Linked DNA regions of Oryctolagus cuniculus. The protein of the gene in region 1 interacts with the protein of each later gene in a pairwise test. Links are inferred from orthologs where the notes say so. Each region holds a gene or a part of one and is shown in the gene's direction. Other genes may lie near its edges.

Region 1 (3,560 bases):
TTTGGAGAGATTGTAGAAAAAATTGGAGTCCACCTAATCAGAACTGGCAGCCAGCCGCTAAGAGTAATTGTCCATGACACGGGAACATCACCGGATCAGGTATGTTTAGGTGACATTAATTTGCTCTCTTTCACCTGCCTTTGAATGGTGTTCCTCCCTACCCTAGAAAATGAAGGCAGAAAGCCTGCCCTAGGATCAGAACAGTGTTGCTTGAGGGGAAAGAGGATGAAACTTAGGTCCCAGGGTTTTGTTTCTCAAAGTGTTCCTAATTCATCAAGGCTTCTTAAACAAATCTTGGAGCTGGTGCTGTGGCACAGTAGGTTAATCCTCTGCCTGTGGCACCAGCATCCCATATGGGTGCTGGTTCTAGCCCCAGCTGCTCCTCTTCCAATCCAGCTGCCTTCTATGGCCTGGGAAAGCAGTAGAAGGCCCAAGTCCTTGGGCCCCTGCACTCGTGTAGGAGACCTGGAAGAAGTTCCTGGCTCTGGTCCAGCTCCAGCTGTTTGGACCACCTAGCAAATGGAAAACCTCTCTCTCTCTGCCTCTCTGTAACTCTTTCAAATAAAATAAATAAATAAATCTTGAGGCCAGTGCTGTGGCGCAGTAGGTTAATCCTCTGCCTGTGGCACCAGCATCCCATATGGGCTCCAATTTGAGTCCCAGCTGCTCTTCTTCCAGGCCAGCTCTCTGCTATGGCCTGGAAAAGCAGTAGAAGATGGCCCAAGTGCTTGGGCCCCTGCACCTGCACAGGAAACCGGGAAGAAGCTTCTGACTCTTGACTTAGGATCGGCACAGTTCCAGCCATTGTGGCCATTTGGGGAGTGAACCAGCGGAAGGAAGACCTTACTCTCTGTCTCTCCCTCTTAATTGTCTGTAATTCTACATCTCAAATAAATAAAATCTTTTTTAAAAAATAAATAAATCTTTAAAAAAAGAAGCAAATATTTGCTCTTCCCATTCCATATCTGATTTATTTTCAATAAGTCTACTAATCTCAGTACTATCTTTAAGGAATGAAAATGATATAAAGTAAATTATAGTTCAAAAGATAAGGACCAGAGGAAATATGAGTATCAAAGCAAGGATGGCCCCGATTTCTTCTGTTGGCGTGTTGTTATTATTAGCTCCTGGATCAGAAAGAGGAAATAAGCACATGTTCTTTCTTTTCTTTTCCTTTTTTTTTTTTTTTTTACATTTATTTATTTGAAAGATGGAGTTACAGAGAGAGGGAGAGATAGAGAGAAAGGTCTTCCATCCACTGGTTCACTTCCCAAATGGCCTCAATGGTTGGGACTGAGCCTGGACAAAGCCAGGAGCTTCTTCCAGGTCTCCCACTCGGGTGCAGGGGCCCAGGCACTTGGGCCATCTTCCACTGCTTTCCCAGGCCAGAGCAGAGAGCTGGATTGGAAGTAGAGCAGCCAGAACTCGAAACAGCACCCATTTGGGATGCTGGCACTGTAGGTGGCAGCTTTATCCGCTACACCACAGTGCATCTAGCTGAATCTTGATGCTTAGTAAGCTGTTGAACCAAAAAGTTGGCAGCAATAATGAGCTCTGTCTTCAGATCCTTTCTCTCTTTTGGGCCCTGTCTAGGTGAAGAAAGCCCTTTGCGTCCTCATCCAACATAACCTGGTGATATATCAAGTGCACAAGCGCGGTGTAGTGGAGTATGAAGCCCAGTGCAGCCACATGTTGCGAATGCTTAGGTATCCGCGGTACATCTATACTACCAAAACACTGTACAGTGATACTGGAGAGCTGATTGTTGAAGAGCTGCTGTTGAACGGCAAAATGACCATGTCCGCTGTTGTGAAGAAAGTGGCGGATCGGCTCACAGAGACCATGGAGGGTCAGTACCACATCCACAGCTATTGGCGAAAGCATAGACTGGCTGGCTACAGGAGTGAATCCCAGCTACCCTAAGCCATCTCACCTGTCTCTTTACTCCCATTGTGCAGATGGCAAGACTATGGACTATGCTGAGGTATCAAACACGTTTGTGCGACTGGCAGACACACACTTCGTACAGCGCTGTCCCGTGGTGCCTGCCACTGAGGATTCAGACTCTGGGCCTCCACCGCCTGCCCCCACGCTTGTCATTAATGAGAAAGACATGTACGTGGTTCCTAAACTGAACCTGATAGGTAAGGAATTTTGACCCCTGGAACTGTGGCTTACCCTGATTGTAGATTCTTCTTCGTTGATCGTTGAATGAATCAGTTGAGCATTTGTCAAGTATTTGCTTGATGTGTACCAGACATTATAGCCTATCATAATGAAAAATCCATGGTCCTTGCCCTTATGGGGTCTAAGTCATACAAAAGACATACATTAACCAAAAATCACTTAGATATATGACAAACTGTGGTGAGTACTATGAAGGAAAACTAGGAGGCATTCTAAAAACATATGTTGGAGAACAGGATTTGTCTGGGCACTTAGGGGTCGTGTTTCTTTGAGAAAGTGACATTTGAGCTAAGATTCAAAGCACAAGTTGGAGCTAACCAGTGAAGCAACAGAGGGTAAGCATTTTTGGCAAAGGGACTTTTTGGTAGTGAGAAAAAAAATTGGCATTTGAAGAGGTGAAAGGTAGTCAGTGTGGCTACAGCAAGGCGAACAAAGGACAAGGGGAGAAATGGGAGAAGGGTCAAGAGAAAGTCAAGAGGCTAGGTCAGGCAAGCTTACACAAGGAGTCTTCTCAGAGTTTGTGGAAAATGTATATTATGGAAACACTGTGCATGAATTTCAAAATTGTACACTCAAGTTATCTTTTTTAAAGATGTATTTACTTATTTGAAAGTCAGAGTTACACAGTGAGAGAAGGAGAGGCAGAATGAGAGAAAGAGAGGTCTTCCATCCACTGGTTCACCCCCGAATTGGCCACAACAGCCAGAGCTGCGCCAATCCGAAGCCAGGAGCCAGGAGCTTCCTCCCGGTCTCCCAGTGGGTGCAGGGGCCTAGGCACTTGGGCCGTCTTCTACTGCTTTCTCAGGCCATAGCAGAGAGCTGGATCGGAAATGGAGCAGCCCAGACTCAAACCAGTGCCCATGTGGGATGCCAGCACTGCAGGTGGTGGCTTTACCTGCTATGCTACAGCGCCAGCAGATTTTAATTCCATTTTCTACAAAATTTTTGAAATACTCTGATAGAACATCTACTCTTTATCCTAAGAGCAAAGGAAAACCACTAAAGGATTTTAAGCAGGGGAGCAACATAATCTAATTTAGATCTGTAAAAGCAATAGAAAGGATAGGAGGATGAGACAAAAGTGAATGTAGATAGCCTGGAGGAAAATTAGGTACAGAAGGGGTGAGGGAGGCAGAGGGATCCAGAATGACGTGTGTGTGTCTGACTTGTGCATGTGGGAGGATGGTGGCACCGTTCACTGAAAAAGGAAGCATTGAAAGAGGACCCAGTCTGAGGGAGAAAGATTAGGAATTCCATTTTGAACTTGCTGAACTTCAGATGACTTCATCATTTCTTTGAGTTTCTTATGGTTCTGAAGTCTCCTAAAAAACTCATAACCTAACAGCAGCCACGGATGTCTTTGGGATGAAGAG
Region 2 (4,120 bases), about 130 kb from region 1:
TCAGTCTGCATGGAGTGGCGTCTCACCAGCTTGCGCTTGGTCCTGGGAGAGCCTGGCGCCCCCGCATGCGGAGGGGCAGGCAGCGAAGGCGCCCGACCTCCGGCTTGGGGACGAATGTCGGGGATGGGAGGGTGGGGGCTGACGTTGAGCGGAGGCAGGAAACCTGGGCGCGTTTGCGAGATGTGGTCCAGGAGCAACGTCCCGGAGCCCCTCCGCTCCAGCAGCCCGGGGCTCCGCCTCCGTCCGCTCAGCGGCGATACAGCCCCGGGCAGACTCTCCTGGGACTGGCGCGGGGAGGGAGCCGAGCCGGCTAGAGGGAGGGTCAGCGGGGAGGCGCTGTATCGGCGACGCTCCAGGGACAGGCGACTGGACTCGGGCGAGTCGGGGCAAAGATGTCCGGGGGTGTCGAGCTCCACCGGCTCCATGCGGCTGAGCTTCTGCCTCAACCCCGAGGCTGGGCCAGACTCCTGAGCCTCGGGCGCTGTGTTCCGGCGCGAGAGAGGCCCCCCGCCCGTCACTTTCTCCGCCCACGGGGGCGGGTCCTCCGGGCCTTCGGTGCTGTGACGTCGGGAAAGACGGGGTCTGCCGCTCAGGGTCAGCCCGTTGAAGTCGGCGGTCAAGCGCTCGATCCCCGGCCTCCCTTCGGCGGGCGGAACCGGCTGTGGAGGGGCCACCAGGCCCCAGGGCTCGGAGTTGAGCCTTTTGAGTGGTTTCGGGGGATGGCGGGGCGGTTTGGGGAGAGGCTCTGAAGGGGAAGGGTCATCGGGGGGTTTAGGAAGAGGGAATTCGAATACGTCCCGCTTCTCCTCCTCCTCCTGGGCGCGAGGGGACAACAAGCCACGCCCTCCTCCTGCAGTCTGCAACTGGATTTCTGAAGGCGACGTGCAGACTCCCGGGCTAGGTGGAGCGGGAGCAGGATCCTCCACCCCCGGGGACGGTGGAGAATTGAGATACTGCCGCGTCTTCTTGGTGCCCGAGGGCGACGTATCGGTAGTGATGATGATGACCTCCGTGCCCTTGGCCTTGCAGGCGTCCAGCAGTGTGGCGAGGGTCTCGCGGTCCCCACGGTCCAGGGCGTGGACAAGCGCCGAGGCGCCTGCGTGATCTCTGACGGAGGGGTCTGCGCCGTGCTCCAGGAGCAGCGAAGCCACCGCGGCGCCCCCACCTCCGGCGCAAGCATGCATGAGAGCCGTGCGCCCTAGGCGGTCTGCGATGTTGGGGTCCGCGCCTTGCTCCAGGAGGTAGCGTACCATGCGCGCCTTGTTCTGGGGGTCGTCGTAACGGGCCCGACAGGCCGCCATTAGCGCAGTCTCCCCCTGGGCATCGCCCTCATTCACGTAGGCGCCCCCCTCCAGAAGCAAACGGGCCAAACGCAGCTTACCCTGACCCACAGCCCGAAGCAGAGCGTGGCCCTCGGTGTGCAGCATAGCTGCGGCTGGAGAGAGGGCACTGATGGAGCCGGGTCTGGGACCTGCCGCAGATGGCTAGGGGTCTGGGGGTGGTGCTTGACAGAGGCCTGGGGTCTCAGTGATGAAGCTGAACCCTACAAGAAAGAGATGGATCATATTGGCGGATTCAGCAAGGAAACTGAGGCACCGCTGGAGGCGTCCGGTGTGAGGCGACACACAGTCCTGCCTCTAACTCGTGCCTTGGAGCCTCCCCTTCCCCCCAGCGCATGCCTGAGGAGGTGGGAAGGGTGCACCCGCGCTGAAGGGTGAGCGCGCGTGCAGCTGCGTACGTGCACGCGCAGAGACATCCGTACCCCCACTCTCACCCCCACGGCTTCTCAGACCTTTCCAGCATCCCCCTTTTCTTACCCACACTTGGAATCCCCCTTTCTAGGATGCTGAACGCCACCCACCCACACACATGCTCCCGTATAAACACATATTCCCATTCCTAACCTCTTTTAGGTTGCCACAGCCCCAAAAATTGAGTAGGGGGAGGGAAGCAGCTTGCATTTGGGACCTAAAACGGGTGGAGGGAGAATTGGGGGTTTCTTTTGCTCCTGCTGTATTCCCCATCACTCCTTGCTCTTTCCCCTCCCAGGCTGTGCACCCAAATAGATACCTGAATGTCCGCAGAATCTCTGCCTGGCCAGGATTGAGGCCGTGTTCACCGGACAGCCGGGGTGGCGGAGCCAGGTTCCCAGGGGCCCACATGGCGTGGGGGGGCACCCGATTCCCTTGGTGTCAGAATCTGCGCCCCGGCACCGGATCCTGGTCCCTCCTCCCGGTGCGCCCCGGGCACAGCGCCGGCTCGGGAGGAGAGAAGCTGGGGGGGCGGGGGGGAAGGGGGCGGAGCTCTCCTATGCTATTTATAGCCCAGTCTCTGCGGGTGGGGGCGTCCGGCAGCAAACCGCTCCCCCACTCATGCACACATAAACCCTGAAAAACCTGGAGGCTCCAATCTTGACTTCCCTTATCTGAGCCGACCTCCCCTAAGCCCCAACAAACCTAAAGTGTCCCTTAGGGGACGACTCCGAGACCACGACAGCGACCATCCGAATTCTCGGCAGAGCCTCAGCAGATCTCCATTCTCCGCATTTGGTGTGCTTGTGCGCCAGACTTAACCTGTCACACACCGCACATGACACACTGTGCAGAGGGGTGTAGCCAGTCGATTGGGATCCGGAGCCGGCATCCATACGGTAGTGTGCAGAGAAACGGGAGGTCTGACTGCCTTCTTGCAGTTGAAATCCCTGGTAGATCACGGTCCAGTCAGGAATCAGACAGGGAGGTACATCACTACCCCACCTCCACCAAAAGGGGACACACAGCACAGAGAGCCTCAGCTCCTTTATGCAGACCCCTTAGATGAGCAGGAAGGAAAGTGGATGTCTGGGGGCATTTTTACATAGGGCGAGGGGCGTTCCCAGGTGCCGCCTCCTTCTAATCTTGGGAGGAGAGACCTACTAGAAAGGGGGCAGGGAAAGGAGGGAACCAAGTAACACCTTCTCTCATTGCATTTCCTTACTCTCAGTCTTGCTTAGACTCTTTATTTTTCCATCTTGCTTGAAGGTCTCTATTCTGGTTGCTCTTGGTGTTTTCTGTCTTCCTATCTGTCACTATCTGTCTCTCTCACTGTCTGCCTCTCCTTGCCACCTGCCCTGTCTCCATGGTTACCATAGCTTCCATCTGCATATTTTAGGAATGAATTTCTGTCCAGCTGGAAGGTACCAAGGGAAATGGGGGAACGAGGAAAGAATGCTAAGGATCTGAAAAGTTCACCTAGGGTCCTGAGATAATTTAGACTGGAGGTCCGCAGACACAAGTGTCTAAAAATAACATCCCTGGGGCTCATGAAGTGGTCTAGCAACATAAGGGAAGGCCTGTTACCAGGCATCCTGTATAAGTTCTGGTTCAAATCCTGGTGGCTCCATTTGCAACCCAACTCCCTGCTATTGCGCCTGGAAAAGCAGTGAAAGTGACTCACGTGAGAGACCTGGATGGAGTTCCTGTCTCCAGATTTCAGTTTGGCTTCCTGTCTCCAGATTTCAGTTTGGCTCAGCCCTGGCTATTGTAGCCATCTGGAGAATGAACCAGTGGTTGGAAAATCTTTTATTTCCTCTCTGTAACTCTTCTTCTTCTTCTTCTTCTTTTTTTTTTTTTTTTTTTTTTTTTTTTTACTTTTGACAGGCAGAGTGGACAGCGAGAGAGAGAGAGAGAGAGAGAGACACCCCCAATGGCCGACGCGGCGGGCGCATCGCACTGATCCAAAGCCAGGAGCCAGGTGCTTCTCCTAGTCTCCCATGGGGTGCAGGGCCCAAGCACTTGGGTCATCCTCCACTGCACTCCTGGGCCATAGCAGAGAGCTGGCCTGGAAGAGGGGCAACTGGGACAGAATCCGGCGCCCCAACCAGGACTAGAACCCGGTGTGCCGGCGCCACAAGGCGGAGGATTAGCCTATTGAGCCACGGCGCTGGCCTGTAACTCTTTTTTTTTTTTTAAAGATTTATTTTATTTATTTGAAAGGCAGAGTTAGAGAGAGAGGTAGAGAGAGAGAGAGAGAGAGAGGTCTTCCATCCACTGGTTCACTCCCCAACTGGCCACAACAGCCAAAACTGTTTCGCTCTGAAGCCAGGAGCCAGGAGCTTCTTCCAGGTCTTCCATGCAGGTAC

What was found.
Region 2: the proteins of POLR3C (region 1) and POLR3GL interact in binary tests that used the Homo sapiens proteins (3 or more experiments, as listed by UniProt). The link is inferred for Oryctolagus cuniculus from reciprocal best matches to the Homo sapiens genes POLR3C and POLR3GL.

The regions. Positions count from the first base shown.
Region 1 is NC_091438.1:49,059,327-49,062,886, reverse strand, and holds part of POLR3C (DNA-directed RNA polymerase III subunit RPC3), read left to right. Parts: coding exon 1-99; intron 100-1,593; coding exon 1,594-1,849; intron 1,850-1,958; coding exon 1,959-2,144; intron 2,145-2,698; exon of another isoform or gene 2,699-3,560. UniProt on the Homo sapiens protein: DNA-dependent RNA polymerase catalyzes the transcription of DNA into RNA using the four ribonucleoside triphosphates as substrates.
Region 2 is NC_091438.1:48,927,992-48,932,111, reverse strand, and holds the start of POLR3GL (DNA-directed RNA polymerase III subunit RPC7-like), read left to right. Parts: upstream 1-1,543; intron 1,544-2,049; 5' UTR 2,050-2,144; exon of another isoform or gene 2,145-2,235; intron 2,236-2,456; exon of another isoform or gene 2,457-2,586; intron 2,587-4,120. Other genes in the region: ANKRD34A (ankyrin repeat domain-containing protein 34A), read right to left, coding at 1-1,427. UniProt on the Homo sapiens protein: DNA-dependent RNA polymerase catalyzes the transcription of DNA into RNA using the four ribonucleoside triphosphates as substrates. Specific peripheric component of RNA polymerase III which synthesizes small RNAs, such as 5S rRNA and tRNAs.